Linked DNA regions of Oryctolagus cuniculus. The protein of the gene in region 1 purifies or fractionates together with the protein of each later gene. This does not show direct contact. Links are inferred from orthologs where the notes say so. Each region holds a gene or a part of one and is shown in the gene's direction. Other genes may lie near its edges.

The links.
Region 2: the proteins of FBXW2 (region 1) and SKP2 purify together in Homo sapiens (affinity purification with western blotting; 4 studies listed by BioGRID). This does not show direct contact. The link is inferred for Oryctolagus cuniculus from reciprocal best matches to the Homo sapiens genes FBXW2 and SKP2.

Annotation. Positions count from the first base shown.
Region 1 is NC_091432.1:224,716,637-224,721,070, reverse strand, and holds the start of FBXW2 (F-box/WD repeat-containing protein 2), read left to right. Parts: upstream 1-1,559; 5' UTR 1,560-1,696; intron 1,697-1,805; 5' UTR 1,806-1,914; intron 1,915-2,326; exon of another isoform or gene 2,327-2,347; intron 2,348-4,434. UniProt on the Homo sapiens protein: Substrate-recognition component of the SCF (SKP1-CUL1-F-box protein)-type E3 ubiquitin ligase complex.
Region 2 is NC_091445.1:61,711,879-61,716,313, forward strand, and holds the start of SKP2 (S-phase kinase-associated protein 2), read left to right. Parts: upstream 1-1,536; 5' UTR 1,537-1,770; coding exon 1,771-1,778; intron 1,779-2,254; coding exon 2,255-2,526; intron 2,527-4,435. UniProt on the Homo sapiens protein: Substrate recognition component of a SCF (SKP1-CUL1-F-box protein) E3 ubiquitin-protein ligase complex which mediates the ubiquitination and subsequent proteasomal degradation of target proteins involved in cell cycle progression, signal transduction and transcription.

The DNA of each region.
Region 1 (4,434 bases):
TAAAAAAATTAACATGAAGGGGAATTTTTACATATACCAAATTTAACAATAAAATGGGTCTTGTAAGTATTTAATTAAACATGAAATCTATGCATGGTTTGCAATTTCTTAATTTTTATAGCTATAAGTTTTGCTTCTAGATCTTTGAGCTTCATTTTACAATTTGGTTTCTTTGCCTAAGAGAGGTTCAAACAATATTATCACTGGGGGCAGTCACATCTGGCACTTTCAGTTTGATTCATCAAACTCCTACACTACTGGGGCTGAGACAGTTTGCTGCAAAGAGATACGTGTGTTTGGTTTCCTTTACTGCCTTCCCTGTCATAGAGGTTATCCAATCTCTGAATCTATGCCTTCCAAATATCTTACATTATTTTCATTAGTCACTCTCTGGCTTTGAAGTCTACAGGGGCGTCCTGTTGTCTGTCCAGTCAAATTTGCTCTCTTGAGACCTAATTTTTAGGGCACCATAGTCGGCTTCTACCCCACAAAGTCAATTTGCATTTCTCTTATTTCAAGAACTCTTGATGAGAGAATTGAGGTGCTTAGAACCTTGGCTGTGCCCTACTACTAGCTGGATATGAGGCTCTACATGTTTATGTCCATAAATTTAGACTATGTTTTCCAACATGGTAAGCCATTTACCACACATGGCTTTTTAAATTAAATGAAATTAATTTAGTTTCTCCATTGCAGTAGGCACTTACCCAGCATTCAACAGCCAGAAGAGGCTCATGTTTGTGGGAGTGAACATTCCCATCAATGCCAGGAAGTCCTACTGGGGCAGGACTGGTACGACACGCCTGTGCCATTTGTGTGAGTGGGTATGCATGTGGCTGATGAGCCCGCACAGAGTGACAAAGATAACCCAGGCATTTGAGTCATTTTAAGTTGAAATCCTATGATAAGCAGTCACTAGGATTTCAGGCAAGCAGTCTAAACCTTTTTTGACCTCAGTTTACCCATCTCTAAAAATGGGACTAATGATAATCACGACCTTGCAGTGTAGTTTTAGGAGTGTTTGGTAGTTTGAGTTTCTGACACTAAACATCCCAGAAGGATGAGATTCGCAGGGTACTACAACCGTTAGGAGGAAAACACCGAGACTGAGAAAGCGAGCAGTGGGCTCTGCCATGGCGTCAATATTGTGACTTAAACCTACACAGTCTGCCTGCCTTTCTCCTCCCCGGTCTCTCGACCCCGCTCGACAGCTTTGCTTTACGTTTCTTCTTAGCACCGTACCTGGCTTAGTCATTTGCTTATCCGCTTTCTTCTCGCTACTCAGAGTTTGGGATACAGTAGGTACCCAATAATGTTTGAACTTGGACGCGTCTCTTAACCTGAGTCACCGTTCCCACTTCAGAGTGAGGATAATAATAAAAACTGCTGCTGAGGCGGCTCCAGAGCAGAGGGAGCTAAAATGAGCCGAGCAAATTTGGATCTGCAGACGAACGCCAGCTTGGGTGGAGTATTCACCAGCTCTAACCCACCGTGAGACCACGGCTCACGCCCAGCCTGACCAAGCGCGTTCCCTTCCCGCCTCCGGCTCTCCCGCCTCCGCCTCGGGCGGGGGCCGGAAGTGCAGCCACTTCCGCCGGGCGCCGCGGGGTGGAGGGGCGCGCGGAGATGACGCAGGCAGCACCGGAAGCCGCTCCCCCGTGAGGCTGCGGACCCCGAAAGGCGGCCGCAGGGCCAGGTCTGTGTACGAGGCGGGGCCGATCGGGGCGGGGTGGGGGGGATCTCGAGTGTCCGCGCCCCTGCTGACCCGCTGCGCTTCGGGCTGTTTGTCTTTCTCTTCCCTGCAGGCGCCATGGCTGCGGAGCGGACCCGGCCGCTGCGAGGCTCTGGCGGCCCGAGCGCGCCTAGTCGGTGTGAACCCGGCGCGAGGTCCCAGGCCCCGGGGCACTCGCTCAGGTCAGTGCCGCGCGGAACACGGCTCCGGGAGCCGAGGGCCTGGGAGCGACGAAGGGGTTGAAGGGATGTGGAGTTCATCTTAAGGGATGGGGAAATTGGGTCTCACAGTTAACTGCCTCCTCCTGCCTCAGTTTCCTTATCTGCGAGAGGAGTTAACAATGATGCCCGGGGCTACCAGGAATTTGAAAGATTAGGAAGCTTGGAGAGATGGTTTATGAGGTACAGAGCGGCGTACTAATATGAGGGCCTGCGCCATAATTGTGGGTATGCCATGGAAACAGGTGTGTATGTGGGGTGCTGCGTGAGCACAGGCAAAGAACACATCGGTGCTAAGTAATAGCGGTAGCTGGCTTTTATCATGGGCTTCCAGCGTGCCGGGAACCGTACTAAACGTTTTACTGCATTATCCTGTTTAATCCTGCCGGAAACCCTTGTGAGTAGTGCTGTTCAGGGCTACGTTTTCCAAGTGAGGAAAGTGGACTTCAGATCGGTGGGGTGATTTGCCCAAAGGTCACCCAGCAGAAAGCGGAGTTGCAGAGCCCGTATTTTACAATCTAAACTCGTACTTGTGTTCTTTCCCAGCTGTCTGAGGTTCCTCTTAAAACCGGAGGCTGTTTTTAGGGAGTTTATTCACGTGGCTTTAAATTCAAAATAGTGTACGATCAAAAGGGACCCCACATCCCTGTTCCTCAGCTCTCCACTTCCCTCTGGAGGTAACCAGTGTTAAGGGTTTCTTGAATATCCAAAATGTATTTTAAGCGTATGTAAGTTGGAGAGTGTATACTGGTTTTCAAAGCCTGGGTGCTATGTAAGTGATTATGTTTGATATGAAAAGATTGGCAAGATAAAGCCTCCTTCCTGACAGCTGCGGATGTGTTGCTTTCATTCCTCACCAGGCCAGGCCTTGGTGGAATGTGGGGGTGGTGGTGCAGACATTCACCTGGTTTTGCCGAGAATGTCATGTCACTGATAAGACCTGGAGTTGTAGGCCCTGTGTTGTTTTGCTTTGGGAGGGTGGGCCCTTAGGCCGCCTGCTATATCCTGTGCAACTCTGGGAAAGCCCTTCTACGTCTTAGGCCATGAGTTTCCCCGTCTGTTAGTTAGGGCATTAGTATTGATCCCTTTCACAAGGTTGTGAAGATTAAATGAGATAATGTTTATGAGTAGTACTTCCATCTTTAAAACCAATATAAATATGAGACTGGCCTATGGGGGCAAATATGAGTTAAAGGCAGAATCAGAGACCAAACTCAGGCTCTCATCTCCCAGCTTAAGAGACTTCATAGCTCCACCCACTTCCTCAGAGCTCTGTGATTGTTATTATTGTTAATGTTTAGTCTGAGGTGGGGAAAAATAAAAGGTCAAGACAGCAGGGTATGTGGGTAAGGGGGGAGAAAAAGGCACTTAGTGAGAAATTATAGCCTCAAGTCAGTAACTGCCCTTCGTTGTAAAATTATGCTCCCAGTAAGTTTGAGTCTGTGAGTTTTTCTTCTAGATGTTTTTAAGAGAAACTTTGCCATAAGATCATAGGATTCAAAGGGACCCATCCAGCCTCAGTGTCACAGAAAGCTTGCCTGCCAAGTATTCCTAGTAATAAAGCTAACAGCAAATACCATGTCAGTTATCCTGGACTGGGGACTGTGCTGAGCAGATTCCTGCCTTATTGCTGGTTCTCACAGAGCTGGAGTTGAGTGACAGCTTCCATTTCACAGATGACAGGCGAAGGTTAGAAGTGCGTGAGCATGCCCCTGATCGCACAGGAAGCAGCTTAGTCAGTAAAAGGTTCAGCTGACTGCAGTGCATTTTCGTTTGTCTGGTTCTGTCTCCATATCCAGCAGTCTTGACTGTTCGTAGGAATGGGAAGCTCACCATTCTGGAGGCAGCTTCTCCATTGTTGTGAAGTTCTGATGATTTAAAAGCTCCTTCTTACACTGAATTGAAATCCCATTTCCTGAGCTCCCCCCTGGGGACCATGTGCTACCAGTACATGATATTCCTAGAGACTCTGAGAGTTCAGTTTAGATCTGTGACCTCACCAAAGTCCCTTCCAAAACTAGTTGATTCTTTTAAAAGAGTAAAACTTGGTGACTTAAAAAAATCTTTCTTTTTCTTTTTAATTTGAAAGCATAAGCTCCCATTCACTAGTTCATTCCCCAAATGCCCACAAAGGCCAGGGCTGGCCCAGAGTGAGGAGCCCAATCCAGCTGTTGGCCCATGCGAGTGGTAGGAACCCAATTACTTGAGCCATTACCACTGCCTCCCAGGGTCTGCATTAATGAGAAGCTGGAGTCAGGAGCTGGAGCTAGGAATTGAACCCAGATACTCTGATATGGGATGCAGGCATCTTAATTGCTAAGCTAAATACCCACTCGCTATTTAATAGTGCATTCTGCGGAGTTGTAGGACCTATTCTTCTTCTTTTGAAATACCTTTTTCAAAATAGAGATGAAGAACTGGGAAACTACCCCTACACGGTTGAACAGTTTCTTTTTTTTTTTTTGACAGGCAGAGTGGACAGTG
Region 2 (4,435 bases), on another chromosome or scaffold:
CCATCGGATCAGCGCGGTGCGCCGGCTGCAGCGGCGGCCATTGGAGGGTGAACCAACGGCAAAGGAAGACCTTTCTCTCTGTTCTCTCTCTCACTATCCACTCTGCCTGTAAAAAAAAAAAAAATATATATATATATATATACTATATAGAACATTATCGTAATGCATTGTGAACACTCAGTCTAGTGTTCTTCACCTAGGACCAAACGATTTGTGAACAGACGCCTTCTTTACAACGGTCCCACTTTCTAGAACAGATTAAAGGTTCATAAACACCTGCCTCCATCAAGAGGCAGTGCCTTTTCAAACTAAGTACCAAGTCTGGCACAAGCACCAGCCGGGGCAAGGGAGGTTTAATTCCAGCATAAAGAGAATCTTTCAACGTTTTTCCAGAAAACCGCGAGGGTATGTCGTTTGATCAAGCTGGCCTGCTTACTTCTGAAATTTATAAATCCTCTTCATCTGCGTTAGGGTTGGAATCCATCCCCCCTCCCCTCTTCCACTGTCTGCCCGGGATCACACTTGTAGTAGGGTTGCACAATGGATTTCGCCTGGTCATCCGACCTGGAATATGGCACGTTCTCTACTCCAACCGCCTCCAATCTCTTCTCCTCAGAGATAGGCTAAAAATGCAGCTCGCTTTGAGGCGGCGACACAAACGGATGCAACCGAAAGGCTTTGCAGGTGGCCCCTTGCGTTGCACCGGTCAAGCTCCCTACAAACCTAACAGTCCTCTCACCTACTGCCATGCTAATATTTAAGAGACCTGTCGAGGCCGCCAGGGGGGTGCGCGTCTTCCCTAAGGCACCCTGGAACCTGTGGTCGCCGCCCCTCCCCCCAAAAAATTAAACCACGGCTGCGACTTGGAATTGCCCTTCCGTTTACAAAACGCTTTCACACGCGTTCTCTCTCCGATGTGCGTCATTGTTGTCGTGGCTGTTTTACTAACGAGGCAAGGATCCTGTCCACTGACCCAGTAGTCTAGGGGCCGCCTTCTCCCAGGTGGAGATCGTCCCGGTCGGAGGAACGCGCAGGTGGGACGCCCGCAGCTCGCCGCCTCCCACCCGGCCGGTGGTCCAGGCTACTACCCTCCCTCGGCGGCGAGGGCCGGGGGCCCCGTGGTGGCGGCTACTCGGGGTCTCCCGGGTCCCCTCTCCATCTCCCGCTGCGCTCGATCCCCCGAGCCCAGACCCCAGAGAGTCTCATGCGCTTTCCTTCAGGCTCACCGTCCGATCTCGCTCGACAGCATGTGGAAGGGACGGGAAACTCCGTGTCCGCCACGGCAGTCCAGGCTCTGGGACCCACGCTCGGACGCGACGGCGGTGGCTGTCACCAGCAGGCCCGAGGGCTGTCTGGGGATGAAAACCCGTCAGCAGTTAGGTGGCTGACATTTCCCAGTCAGCCGAAGCACCGCCCACTTCCGCTTCCCCGCCTACCCCGTGGGCCGAGCATCCCCGCACCGCGTGGGGTTGTGGGTATCCAGAGGGCGGGCAGAGCTGTAAGAAAAGGAAGTAGCAAGAGCCAGTCAGACTACGAGGCGGGACTACAATTCCCAGCAGGCTGCGGGGCTGCAGACGGCCGCCGGCGAGGCGAGCGGGCAGAAGAACCCTGCGCGCGCGGCGAGGATGGAACGTTACTAGAGTTCGCGGGTCTGGCGCCGGGGGCCGGAGCCGCACTCTTCGAGCCGCTGCGCGCCAAAGCGGGAATCTAGGAGGCGGGCAGCTCTGCAGTTAATGCAGGTAATTTAAAACATCCGAACCTGTGGACGCCATGCACAGGTAAGCCGTTTGCAAAAAGGAGGAGAGTATGAATGGACCATCTTAATTCTTTTAGGCCGCAGATACTGCTGCTTAACTAATATTGTTATTAATGCCGTTGTAGAATAGACCTTTCTTGGGGAAAGTGCGGGTGGATGGCCGCCTTGGTGCGGGAATCGGTGTCCCGCTTTATTTGGCTTCCCCGCGGCCGGTTTCAATCACTGTGTGATCGCCCTTGTACTTTCCTTGTTCTCTCCCCTGGAAGAAATTCTCGGGGCCTTCTGCTTGACCGCAAATCGAAAAGCCTTTTCGATTTTTTCCGGTTACTTTCTCCTTCGTTGCCGGGGAACTCGCCGCGGGCACGTAAAAAGTGCCGTTCTGTTAGCTGCGGCGACGGTTTCCTACCGGGTGTAACCTGTAGCTTGCTTTGTGCCCACCTTGGAAGTCCTCACGGGTGTACTTCAGAAAGGAACCGAGGGTATTGTGTGCTTCTGCAGGAAACACCTCCAGGAGATTCCAGACCAGAGTGGCAACGTCACCACTAGTTTCACGTGGGGATGGGATTCCAGCAAGACTTCTGAACTGCTGTCAGGCATGGGGGTCTCCGCCCTGGAGAAGGAGGAAGTGGACAGTGAAAACATCCCCCAGGAACTGCTCTCCAATGTGGGCCACCCACAGAGCCCCCCGCGGAAACGCCTGAAGAGCAAAGGCAATGAGAAAGACTTCGTGATCATCCGCAGACCGAAGATCAATAGAGAAAATGTCCCAGGTGAGGTGTGAAGGTGTGCCGATGAAAACTGCCAGTTCCGTAAAGGCTGGCTTGAACTAATATTTGGTCGCTAAGCCTTTGTTAGGGATCTTTAGGATAGGCCTCTCTTAAAAGTGCCCAAAACTGAAGTTATTTTCCAATGAAATGGGGCAAGTTGTTGAAGTCATAGGAATCTTTGTAGATATGTATCTTCTGGTCCACCATGGATTTCGAAATTTTAACCCCTGAGAAGATGTCCCTACCTTCTTCCTTAAAAGGGAGTCGGGCTGTTCAAAGTGCAGCTCAGCGCTGCTGGTAAATGGGAATATAAACAATGATCTGCTTTTAGGATTCTTTTTGTTTATAATCCACTGCTCTGTACCCCTAAGTAAGTTTTTTGCCTTACTCATGTTAGTTGTTCATTAATGAACTGCCAAAGCGAGTGTTAAACTAAGTGGAGAAGACTCATCTCATCTCCCTAGGTCCACTCCCAAGCAGGCTTCTCCCAGTGTGCTATGTCTGTAACTCGCTCTTTGTGTTCAGCTACCAAACCCACAAACCTAAAAATCTGATCTCCGCTGTCCCCGACATCCATCTTTCCCTCTTGTGTGGTAAATATTTTTCACGCTCTCATCATCTCTTCCCTGAGCCATTAGAATGGATTCCTAATTCAGGCCTTCTCTTCCCCAGATGCATCCCCCTGAGCTGGAGTGGGTTGACTGAATGTAACACACCCTAGTGTTCTTCTACTAGCACCTTGTTCCCTGATTTCTCAGGCAGGTGAATGACTGCCTCCAGATTGGATCAGAACCCTGGAGCCTTCCAAACCGTAGAATAAGCACAGTGCATTGACATGGGGGATTATCAGTTTTTCTTACTCCTAAGTCATTTAAGCACTAATTCAGCACATACTTGCTGAGTACATACTGTGTGCTAGGCATTGTTGTAGGTGTCGGGGATGCCGCCGTAAGGCAAAAATCAACCTTGCTACCACATGAAACTTCCATTCTAATGAGGGATCACAGTAAACATAATAAATACTTAATGTAGTTTGTTAGAAAGCGATAAGGGCCATGTCTAAAAATAAAAATAGAGCAAACCAGGAGGGAGTAGAAACCCTAGAGTGGGAAAATAGATTACAATTTTAAACAGGATTTTTTTTGTTTGTTTTTTTATTTTTTTTGGCAGGCAGGGTGGACAGTAAGAGAGGGACAGAGAGGAAGGTCTTCTTTTGCCGTTGGTTCACCCTCCAATGGCCGCCAAGGACGGCGCGCTGTGGCTGGAGCACCGCGCTGATCCGATGGCAGGAGCCAGGTACTTCTCCTGGTCTCCCATGGGGTGCAGGGCCCAAGTACTTGGGCCATCCTCCACTGCACTCCCTGGCCACAGCAGAGAGCTGGCCTGGAAGAGGAGCAACCGGGACAGAATCCGGCGCCCCGACCAGGACTAGAACCCCATGTGCCGGCACCGCAAGGTGGAGGATTAGCCTAGTGAGCCGCGGCGCCGGCCAAACAGGATGTTAAGGGAAGACCTCAGTTGGACATTGACATTTAAACAAAGGCATAAATGGGGCAAGCGAGTGTGCCATGCAGATAGCTTGGAGAAGGAATGACCCAGTGCAAAGGCCATGAGGCAGAAGCATGACATACTTGTTCAAGGGAGAACAAGGAAGTCATATTCCAAAAGTGGAATGAGCTAGGGGGAGATCATGCTAGAGGCTATGATGTGACCTGATTTAACCTTTTAAAATGTTGAAACTGAACTGTGGGGAGTGGAGAGCAGAAACTTGGAGACCTGTTAAGCGCTGTGGGTGGAGTGATCGGCAGTGCTCAGATTCTGGATTTATTCTGATGTTGGAATGAACAGGATTAGTAGGCTGTTGAAAATGTAGAAGAGGTAATCAGCCTGCGCTGAAATTGGGTGAGTGATG